Linked DNA regions of Saccharomyces cerevisiae S288C. The gene in region 3 interacts genetically with the main gene of each other region. Each region holds a gene or a part of one and is shown on either strand. Other genes may lie near its edges.

Evidence for each region.
Region 1: mutations in ASF1 (region 3) and GET2 together harm fitness more than expected from each alone (negative genetic interaction), as found in Saccharomyces cerevisiae (5 studies listed by BioGRID, with this or other methods).
Region 2: mutations in ASF1 (region 3) and TSA1 together harm fitness more than expected from each alone (negative genetic interaction), as found in Saccharomyces cerevisiae (5 studies listed by BioGRID, with this or other methods).

What each region holds. Positions count from the first base shown.
Region 1 is NC_001137.3:325,541-329,059, reverse strand, and holds GET2 (GET complex subunit GET2), read left to right. Parts: upstream 1-2,028; coding exon 2,029-2,886; downstream 2,887-3,519. Other genes in the region: threonine ammonia-lyase ILV1, read right to left, coding at 1-583; YER085C (uncharacterized protein), read left to right, coding at 920-1,441; YER084W (uncharacterized protein), read right to left, coding at 1,609-1,995; UTP7 (Utp7p), read left to right, coding at 3,124-3,519. UniProt on the Saccharomyces cerevisiae protein: Required for the post-translational delivery of tail-anchored (TA) proteins to the endoplasmic reticulum.
Region 2 is NC_001145.3:218,487-221,389, forward strand, and holds TSA1 (thioredoxin peroxidase TSA1), read left to right. Parts: upstream 1-1,651; coding exon 1,652-2,242; downstream 2,243-2,903. Other genes in the region: USA1 (Usa1p), read left to right, coding at 1-1,392. UniProt on the Saccharomyces cerevisiae protein: Thiol-specific peroxidase that catalyzes the reduction of hydrogen peroxide and organic hydroperoxides to water and alcohols, respectively.
Region 3 is NC_001142.9:194,271-197,771, forward strand, and holds ASF1 (nucleosome assembly factor ASF1), read left to right. Parts: upstream 1-2,016; coding exon 2,017-2,856; downstream 2,857-3,501. Other genes in the region: SUN family protein NCA3, read right to left, coding at 1-603. UniProt on the Saccharomyces cerevisiae protein: Histone chaperone that facilitates histone deposition and histone exchange and removal during nucleosome assembly and disassembly. Facilitates histone deposition through both replication-dependent and replication-independent chromatin assembly pathways.

The DNA.
Region 1 (3,519 bases), on a different chromosome or scaffold from region 3:
CTTCAGCCAATTTGGCACATTCAGCCTTAGCCTCGTCAAAATCGTTACCATATAGGACGACTTGAGACCCTAATCTCGAGACATTTTGATACTTAATAGATGGTGTACAAACAGGCATAACGATAGTAGCAGGTATTTTCAAGTGTTTAGCAGCAAAGGCCACACCTTGGGCATGATTCCCAGCTGAACAGGCAATAACACCCTGGTTTCTTTGAGAATCGTCCAACTTGGCAATCATGTTATAGGCACCACGAAGCTTGAAAGAGAAAACAGGCAATAGATCTTCTCTTTTCAAGATGACATTCGTGTTTAGACGGGAAGACAAACCTACACCTTGAGAGATTGGAGATTCATTAATAACATCGTATACAGAGGACCTTAAAACTAAACGGACGTAATCAGGGGTGTTATCAGTTTGCAGCTCATCCAATTTCAATTCAGAGTGTAGTTTTATCAAGGAAGGTGACAGGTGTTGTCTGTGCAAATGAGCCTTTAGTCTCAAAAGGTTCAATCCAGACACTTTGGACTGTTTACCTTGCCGAACAACCGTACATAATGGTTGCTTTAGTAGAGTAGCTGACATCACTAACTTTGTGTAATTGACTTAGTTTAAATGTGGCTTGTAGCACTCACACAAGAAAGAACTCAAAGCAGCAACAACAAAAGTTTTCAAAGCTGATAATGAAGTATCTGCAGACATATGTTTGAGATGACTCTTTTTCTTTGATATTTTTTTTTTCTTTTTATGCGATTCCAAATTTGCTACCCGCTGCGCTTTTTCTTTTTGCCCTTCTTATTTTTTCTTTTTCGCGTCAATTAAAATTGAACGTCACAAAATAGCAGAGATAATATGCAATAAAGAGAGAAGAGTTAAAGAGTCTTGGTAGTCAGGAAAAGGTTTTCATATTCATCAGACATAATGAATTTCAAGGAGCCGCTAGTGAATTTTTTAAAATGCGTCTTGAATAACATAAACTCGGCATTTTCGCATAGGATTGATCAATTGCAATTGCAGCTGTTGCGGGAAACAAATATCTTGAGGGTTTTGAACAGGGGAATAGAGAGACTGTTTAGCGAGAATCCAAGGACCCATTCTGTTTCCCGTATCGTGGTGGAAAAAGATGTGGGCTGCAGAATTGGACGATATGTGGAAGGTTCTAAATATGAACTGGTAGAGTCCAGGGCGAAAGAAATACAAATATATTATGAAAGGATGGTTTTTGAAATAACACAAGAATTGAAAGGGGACAAGCGGGTGTTTGCCTTGATTGCAAATCTTTCCCAAAGATATAGCGCAGAGAGGAAAGAAATACGAAATGTAAAGGTGCATGGTGGGCGGCCATGTAATGAGAACGAATTCCAGGTGATTCCGATAAGATTCAAACCTATTAATTTGGAAAGAAGAGCACGACTGATAAGAAAGAAGAAGACTATTAATTAAAAAACTTACATACAAATACATGCCTTACTTTCGATGCCAGCATCTGGAAAGGGAAAGGCAGGGGCAGAGGGACATATTACTTATCTATTTATGCATAATTTGTGTTATATATTGGTATGATAACTTGATGTTAGAGAATGTGCTATTCTGTTTCTTGAAAATCTGAGTTAAGGTTGATACCGCTTTGATACAGCGGGTGTGACAGGTTTATCTGTGACGGTGACAGGGGCAGTAGAACTACTGGAAGCCGCAAAGTCAGAGGATACTGTGAGTGGTGGTGCCCACAACGTGGATGGTCTCAGTTTGACCCTAGGACTTGCAGAAGATCCTGTGGGAAAATCCGGGGAAGGCGGATGGCTACTTGGGTTGAGCATTACTCTCTTTGTGAAAAGGGAGGGAGGGAGAAGTTTGGGGATGAGATGGTTGCTCTTATAACATAAGGTAAATAAAAATTTGGGGTGACCCCGCCGTGCGCGTTTGCTGGGACAAAAGAACAAGAATAGGAACATGAAAAGATTTGAATGATATGGATATGTACAAATGAGCTCTTCCATGTTTGTAGCATCAGCAACGTAGCTCTAGGAAATATGTCTGAATTAACAGAGGCGGAAAAGCGCAGGTTACTAAGGGAAAGGAGACAGAAGAAGTTTAGCAATGGAGGTGCCAGCTCCAGGCTTAATAAAATCACCGGGCAGGCAAGCAGTCATTTGAACGCAGAATCACCTTTAGACGCTCCTAGCGCTGCAAAGACCACACCACCTGCGAGTGTGCATTCGGCTACTCCAGATATCAAAGAAGATAGCAACGTAGCGCCCCAATTGGACCTATTGAAACAGCTCGCTGCCATGCAAGGCCAAGGTACGGGTAAAAGTACCCCTCAGGACTCCTCTACGCCCGATCTACTCTCACTACTAAGTTCTATGAACACTGGCATGCCCAGTGCAGAGGGTACACCATCGTTTGGTCAAGCGGCTCCTGCAGCCCCGATCAATCAAGCTGCTTTGGACTACCATGATTACTTGCTGAACAGACTGAAAGCCTGGACCATTCTTGTGAAGTGGGTCTTTTTCCTACTACCCTATCTATACCTAATCACAAGACCAAATTCCTCTGTGTGGCCGGCCTATGCATTTACTCAATCAGCTTGGTTTGCACCTTTGCGGAACCCATCGAATTTCACTAGAATTTTTGCCACGTTTGAGTTCCTTTCCATATCCATCTACTACCAGCTATTGAAGAATGTGGAACACAAGAGCAAGATTAAAAATTTACAAGATACCAATAAACTTGTCAAGTTAGTTTCACTGGTGCCCGAGGGAGTAATTCCCGTCGCCAACCTGAAGGGGAAGCTAATTACCCTTTTGCAATACTGGGATCTATTGTCCATGCTAATCACTGACATTTCGTTTGTGCTAATTGTCTTAGGCTTATTGACGTACTTATAAATTCTAGATAGTTCAGTAATATAATACATTGTTCTCATAACCCGACATTATTCCCGGCTTTCTTTTCAGGTAATTGAAAAAAAAAGAAAAACGGTAAGAAAATTTTCTAAGCGATGAGTTCGTGAAAAATCGATGTATAGAACTGAATTGGAGTTCAATAGTAAAAAAAAATCCATATATAGCATTAAAAACTCAGTATCCTAGCTTTAAGAAACTGAACCAGATTCCAACGACACAATGGGTCACAAGAAGAACGGTCACAGACGCCAGATAAAAGAAAGAGAAAACCAGAATAAATTTGAACGTTCCACATATACTAATAATGCTAAAAATAATCATACTCAAACAAAGGATAAAAAACTAAGAGCAGGCTTGAAAAAAATAGACGAGCAATATAAAAAGGCGGTATCTTCTGCTGCGGCAACAGATTACCTTTTACCCGAGTCCAATGGTTATTTGGAACCTGAGAATGAGCTAGAAAAGACTTTCAAAGTGCAACAATCGGAAATCAAATCGAGTGTGGATGTCAGTACTGCAAACAAAGCTTTGGATTTATCTTTGAAGGAATTCGGCCCTTATCATATAAAATATGCAAAAAACGGTACGCATCTTTTGATTACTGGCCGCAAAGGT
Region 2 (2,903 bases), on a different chromosome or scaffold from region 3:
TCACCTGTTAGTTTCGCTCCGACGCAAGGACGATCTCCTGCTGCAATACGTGGCGAAGAACGGGGTATACCATACGTAACCGAATCTGGAAATGACATCGTGCCCACAGATGAGCTTTATAGGAAATGCATTATCAACGGGGATGAAGTAGTATTCATTCCTGTTAGCGAACTAAATCCACAATCGAGCTATTTGTCCGTGATCAAAGGCGATTACGGTGAAATTAAAATCCCCATATCTAGTAATGACTACAGAATTAATGGCGATAATATTTTGCTATCACCATCTGCGATAGAGCAGTTAGAATCTGCTTTGAACTTCAAAATCGAGAGACCACGGGATTCGACACTCTTGCATCCGTCTGGTGAGCATGTTCGAGCTGCAGATAATACCTCTTCGGCAAATGATAATAATACAGTTGAGAATGACGAGTCAGCGTGGAATAGAAGGGTAGTGCGTCCCTTGAGAAACAGCTTCCCGCTGCTATTGGTATTGATAAGAACATTTTACTTAATTGGCTATAATTCATTGGTTCCCTTTTTTATTATTTTGGAGTTTGGAAGCTTCCTTCCCTGGAAATATATCATTTTACTAAGCTTGCTTTTCATTTTTAGGACTGTTTGGAATACCCAAGAGGTGTGGAATTTATGGCGAGACTATCTCCACTTGAATGAAATTGACGAAGTCAAGTTTAGCCAGATCAAGGAGTTCATCAATTCCAATTCATTGACCTTAAATTTCTACAAGAAATGTAAGGACACTCAATCCGCTATTGATTTACTGATGATACCTAATCTACATGAGCAAAGGCTATCGGTCTATTCTAAGTATGATATTGAGTACGACACCAACACCCCTGACGTTGGACAATTGAATTTGCTATTTATCAAGGTGCTATCGGGTGAGATTCCTAAGGACGCGCTAGATGAGTTGTTCAAAGAGTTTTTCGAATTGTATGAAACGACAAGAAACATGAACACACTATATCCTCAAGACTCTTTGAACGAATTGCTGCTGATGATTTGGAAGGAGTCCCAAAAGAAAGACATCAATACGCTACCCAAGTACAGAAGATGGTTCCAAACCTTGTGCTCGCAAATAGCGGAGCATAACGTCCTTGATGTCGTACTCAGATACATAATTCCAGACCCGGTAAACGATAGGGTGATAACCGCTGTGATAAAGAACTTCGTGCTCTTTTGGGTTACACTACTCCCCTATGTGAAGGAGAAGCTGGATGATATTGTTGCACAGAGAGCAAGGGACCGTGAGCAACCGGCTCCATCTGCCCAACAGCAGGAAAACGAAGATGAGGCCCTCATAATCCCTGACGAGGAAGAACCCACCGCCACAGGTGCGCAACCTCATCTCTACATTCCTGATGAAGACTAATTGCAATGCGATGTGGCCACGTTATATAATGCGTTTAAGGTGTACGAAAACCCATGCTGTTCTGGCCCGTCGGGTTTTCTGACAAATTGTCCTTTAGGGATTTTTCGGTTTGGCTCGGGTTGGCAAAGTCGGCTGGCAACAAACCAGGACATATATAAAGGGAGGTAATTCGTCAGATCAATGCCGAACCGTTCTCAACGGGCCTTCCCCTCGTTCAATTGCTCACAACCAACCACAACTACATACACATACATACACAATGGTCGCTCAAGTTCAAAAGCAAGCTCCAACTTTTAAGAAAACTGCCGTCGTCGACGGTGTCTTTGACGAAGTCTCCTTGGACAAATACAAGGGTAAGTACGTTGTCCTAGCCTTTATTCCATTGGCCTTCACTTTCGTCTGTCCAACCGAAATCATTGCTTTCTCAGAAGCTGCTAAGAAATTCGAAGAACAAGGCGCTCAAGTTCTTTTCGCCTCCACTGACTCCGAATACTCCCTTTTGGCATGGACCAATATCCCAAGAAAGGAAGGTGGTTTGGGCCCAATCAACATTCCATTGTTGGCTGACACCAACCACTCTTTGTCCAGAGACTATGGTGTCTTGATCGAAGAAGAAGGTGTCGCCTTGAGAGGTTTGTTCATCATCGACCCAAAGGGTGTCATTAGACACATCACCATTAACGATTTGCCAGTCGGTAGAAACGTTGACGAAGCCTTGAGATTGGTTGAAGCCTTCCAATGGACCGACAAGAACGGTACTGTCTTGCCATGTAACTGGACTCCAGGTGCTGCTACCATCAAGCCAACCGTTGAAGACTCCAAGGAATACTTCGAAGCTGCCAACAAATAAGACGCTTGCAGAGTTGTCTAAATGACTACTTATTTAAAATTCACTCTTTACGTTTATACCTATCTATCTATATATAAAACCCATAAACTTAATGCTATTCACTGACAAAACGATACACTACCGTCTAAGAAGCTATTCACACTAGCTCAGTTCTAATAACAATCATCGTCTGGCTCTAAAACGCGTAAACCATTCACTGCCACACTCACTTTAGCTCTGTTGCTGCCCTTCATACGCTGAGACGCGACGCTTCTTTTCTTTCATATGATTTCCCTTCTAGGCGACACGCCATGCCCCAAACGGGGAACACCGCGAATTCCTTCTGGTGCCCGGTTTCCTCTTTGGGAAGGGCGTCAAAATGGTACAGCTCGCTATAGTCGCCAATTACTGCAGATGCTTAAAGGCTTCTGCAACTGTATGTCCAACCTAGTACGTGGAAACTTCAAACGCGAACAATCTGTATGCTGTTTCGGGCTACTTATTGCTCTATACGGTTTTTAGTGGACACGAACTCTTGTAATTATTATATATATATATGCCTTGGCATTTTAACAAGACTCTATGTTGTGATTTCAGTATGATTTGGGTGAAAACACAGTGGTGACCACAGAACAACGAGGTAACAGTTCCAGACCACTACCTTTCCCCTTCAATCTTTGTG
Region 3 (3,501 bases):
TTCTGATCCTGGGTAATCCGTCCTACATAGAGCAATGGAGTCAGACTTTTTGTTAATGGCCTTAGCAGATGTTTCATCCGTAGAACATAAATCGCTGGTATCAGTGTTGGTACGGTACAAGTAACCATTTTTACAGTAAAGACCACCAACAGATTTACCATCGCTTGGTTGGTCAGAAGGCCATTGAGTCTTTGACATTCCAGGTTCACATGCATAAGAACAGTAGTAGCCATCCTTACATTCGGACGAAGTGTTGGCATCCATGTCCATGACAGAGGCCCATCCACCAAATCCTAGCCAGTCCAAGGAAACTATACCGTTTACAGAAGGGAAGTCCGAACATTTGACAGTACCATCTTGGAATCCGCCATCACGCTTCTGTTCAGAGGTATCCTTCTCAGATGAGGACAATGTAGTGGTAGTAGCAGCAGATTCTACAGTACTAGTAGCGGCATTGGAATCTATGTATTGAGTGACAGTGACAACCGCTGGTTTTTCATCTTTGTGATGATCTTCATGGTGACTGTCCGCTGGAGCAGGTGCAGGGGCAGAAAATGCGACAGAAGAAAGGGAAGACAATATTAAAGCTGCGGAAATTTTCATTATGTGTTAGAGAGAGACGAGTTAAGTATGTGCGACTATACTAGTATTATAATATTAAAGGAAAGTAAGGTACCGTCTATGAGGAGACTGTTAGTTGGATATCAGTAATGAGACGAAAAAGCTCGAAATGAATGGATATATTCTTTTTGCTACTGGCAACTGTTGAATATTTAATGTTAAAACAAACTAACTGAGGTATATTCGTATCTGTATGTACACATATACTATATACAGGAAAAGATAAGCAAGAGAGAGGATATCAACTACGAGAGCGATCGATTATATATCAAAAGCTGTCCGCTTTGCCACCCATAATCGGCGCTTAGTTTCGGAGTTCAATCATAATTCTACCACCTTACACTCAACTTACTCTTTAACTCCTATAGTATAATATCGCCACTGACCCCATATTAAAAAAATTTTTTTGCTCGATCTTCTATCCTCTTTAGGTTAATTGTCGCTGTTATTGTCTAGATTTTTTCTCGGAGATGGCGCATCTATTTGCCGTCAAAAGATCCTCTCATACCATATTAAGTAAATTGCCTCCATTTCTTTTTCCTCGGGCAGAGAAACTCGCAGGCAACTTGCTCTCGAAGTGGTCACGTGCGGGTCTAGGCCTGCATAATCGGCCCTCACAGAGGGATCCCGTTACCCATCTATGCTGAAGATTTATCATACTATTCCTCCGCTCGTTTCTTTTTTCAGTGAGGTGTGTCGTGAAAGAAAACCCACAATTAAACTTTCAACAACCGGGCGACTAGGAAGAGAGTAGTGGGCGCGGATGACGAAGGCTAAGGTCACTTCTTCGTTTCCTTTATTGGGGTTTCCGTGTAGCCTTCCCCTGAATAGTGTGGGACGTTTTATGAGAAGCCGTAAGAAATAGGCAAATTGAGTTATGACAAGTAGACATGATGCCGCAGCCTTGCCTGACTTTACGTCTCCTTCATGAATAAGTTTTTCTATCGAGTTCTTTTCCTTTTTTCGCCTTAATTAGCTCAATTAAGCCTGTCCTCACTACTTTTCTTTTTCTTATCGGCTTTGTGCCACACCTAACCTTCGAATGCTGTTTTATTCCGTTCTTACATGGGATGGTAATGCCTTGGCGAGAATTTCGATTTTCAGGATATTGTCTTGGTGGCGTCTTTTGCTGTTACTATGTGTTTAAGAGAGAGCTGTTCTACAAAGAACTTTTCATTTACGCGTTTTTTCCTTTTTTTTTTTTTCTCATCCTAAACGCGTAAATCTGTTCCCTTTTTCATGTAATGGGCGTACAACCGACGATGGAAAAATGAATCTTGCAATTTTAATACTAACACTTGGAATAACTCCAAACAGGTAAGAGGCTCACAGAATCTCGAAAGTGTAACAGCGTACTCTCCCTACCATCCAATTGAAACATAAGATATAGAAAAGATGTCAATTGTTTCACTGTTAGGCATCAAAGTCTTAAACAACCCGGCAAAGTTCACTGATCCATATGAGTTTGAAATCACTTTTGAATGCTTAGAATCTTTAAAACATGACTTAGAGTGGAAACTAACCTATGTTGGGTCCTCTCGTTCTCTAGACCATGACCAGGAATTGGATTCCATTCTGGTAGGCCCCGTTCCCGTAGGTGTTAATAAATTTGTGTTTTCTGCTGACCCTCCCTCCGCCGAGCTGATTCCTGCGAGTGAATTGGTTAGTGTGACTGTTATTCTATTAAGTTGTTCTTATGACGGGAGAGAGTTTGTTAGGGTCGGTTACTACGTGAATAATGAGTACGATGAAGAAGAGTTAAGAGAAAATCCGCCAGCAAAGGTACAAGTAGATCATATTGTAAGAAATATACTGGCTGAAAAGCCAAGGGTAACAAGGTTTAACATTGTTTGGGATAATGAAAATGAAGGGGATTTATACCCACCTGAACAGCCCGGCGTAGATGATGAAGAGGAGGAGGACGATGAAGAAGAAGATGACGATGAAGATGATGAAGACGACGAAGATGACGATCAAGAAGATGGAGAGGGAGAGGCGGAAGAAGCGGCAGAGGAGGAAGAAGAGGAGGAAGAGAAGACTGAAGACAACGAAACGAATCTTGAAGAAGAGGAGGAAGACATAGAAAATAGTGACGGCGATGAGGAAGAAGGAGAAGAAGAGGTGGGGTCTGTAGACAAGAATGAAGATGGTAATGATAAGAAGAGGAGGAAAATAGAAGGGGGGTCCACGGATATTGAATCCACTCCAAAGGATGCGGCACGTTCAACGAATTAAGAATTTATGGGTTATAAGATTAATGGTACCTGCAAGAGAGGTACACTTTATAAAATGTATAAATAAAAAAATAACAGACATAAGATAAAGTCGGGTTAGGGCAACAGCTACGTAAAAAATAAAAGGCAGTAATATTTTCCATTTAAGTTGATTTTCTTATTATTGTCGTTGAGAACAAAAAGAAATTGGACGAGTCCGGAATCGAACCGGAGACCTCTCCCATGCTAAGGGAGCGCGCTACCGACTACGCCACACGCCCTAATATTATTGATATTGTTGTTTATCAAAGTGAGATACGTCAGTATGACAATACGTCATCCTAAAAGTTCATAAAACACATATGAAACAACTTCATAACAGAACGAACATGTTGGAATAAAAATCCACTATCGTCTATCAACTAATAGTTATATTATCATGTTGGAACGAGAGTAATTAATAGTGACATGAGTTGCTATGGTAACAATCTAATGCTTACATCGTATATTAATGTACAACTCGTATACGTTTAAGTGTGATTGCGCCTATTGCAGAAGGAATGTTAAACGAGAAGCTCAGACAATACTGAAGCTGTGTTAAAGACCTATTAGTTGAACATGTTATGGTAGGTACATATATGAGGAATATGAGTCGTCACATCAATGT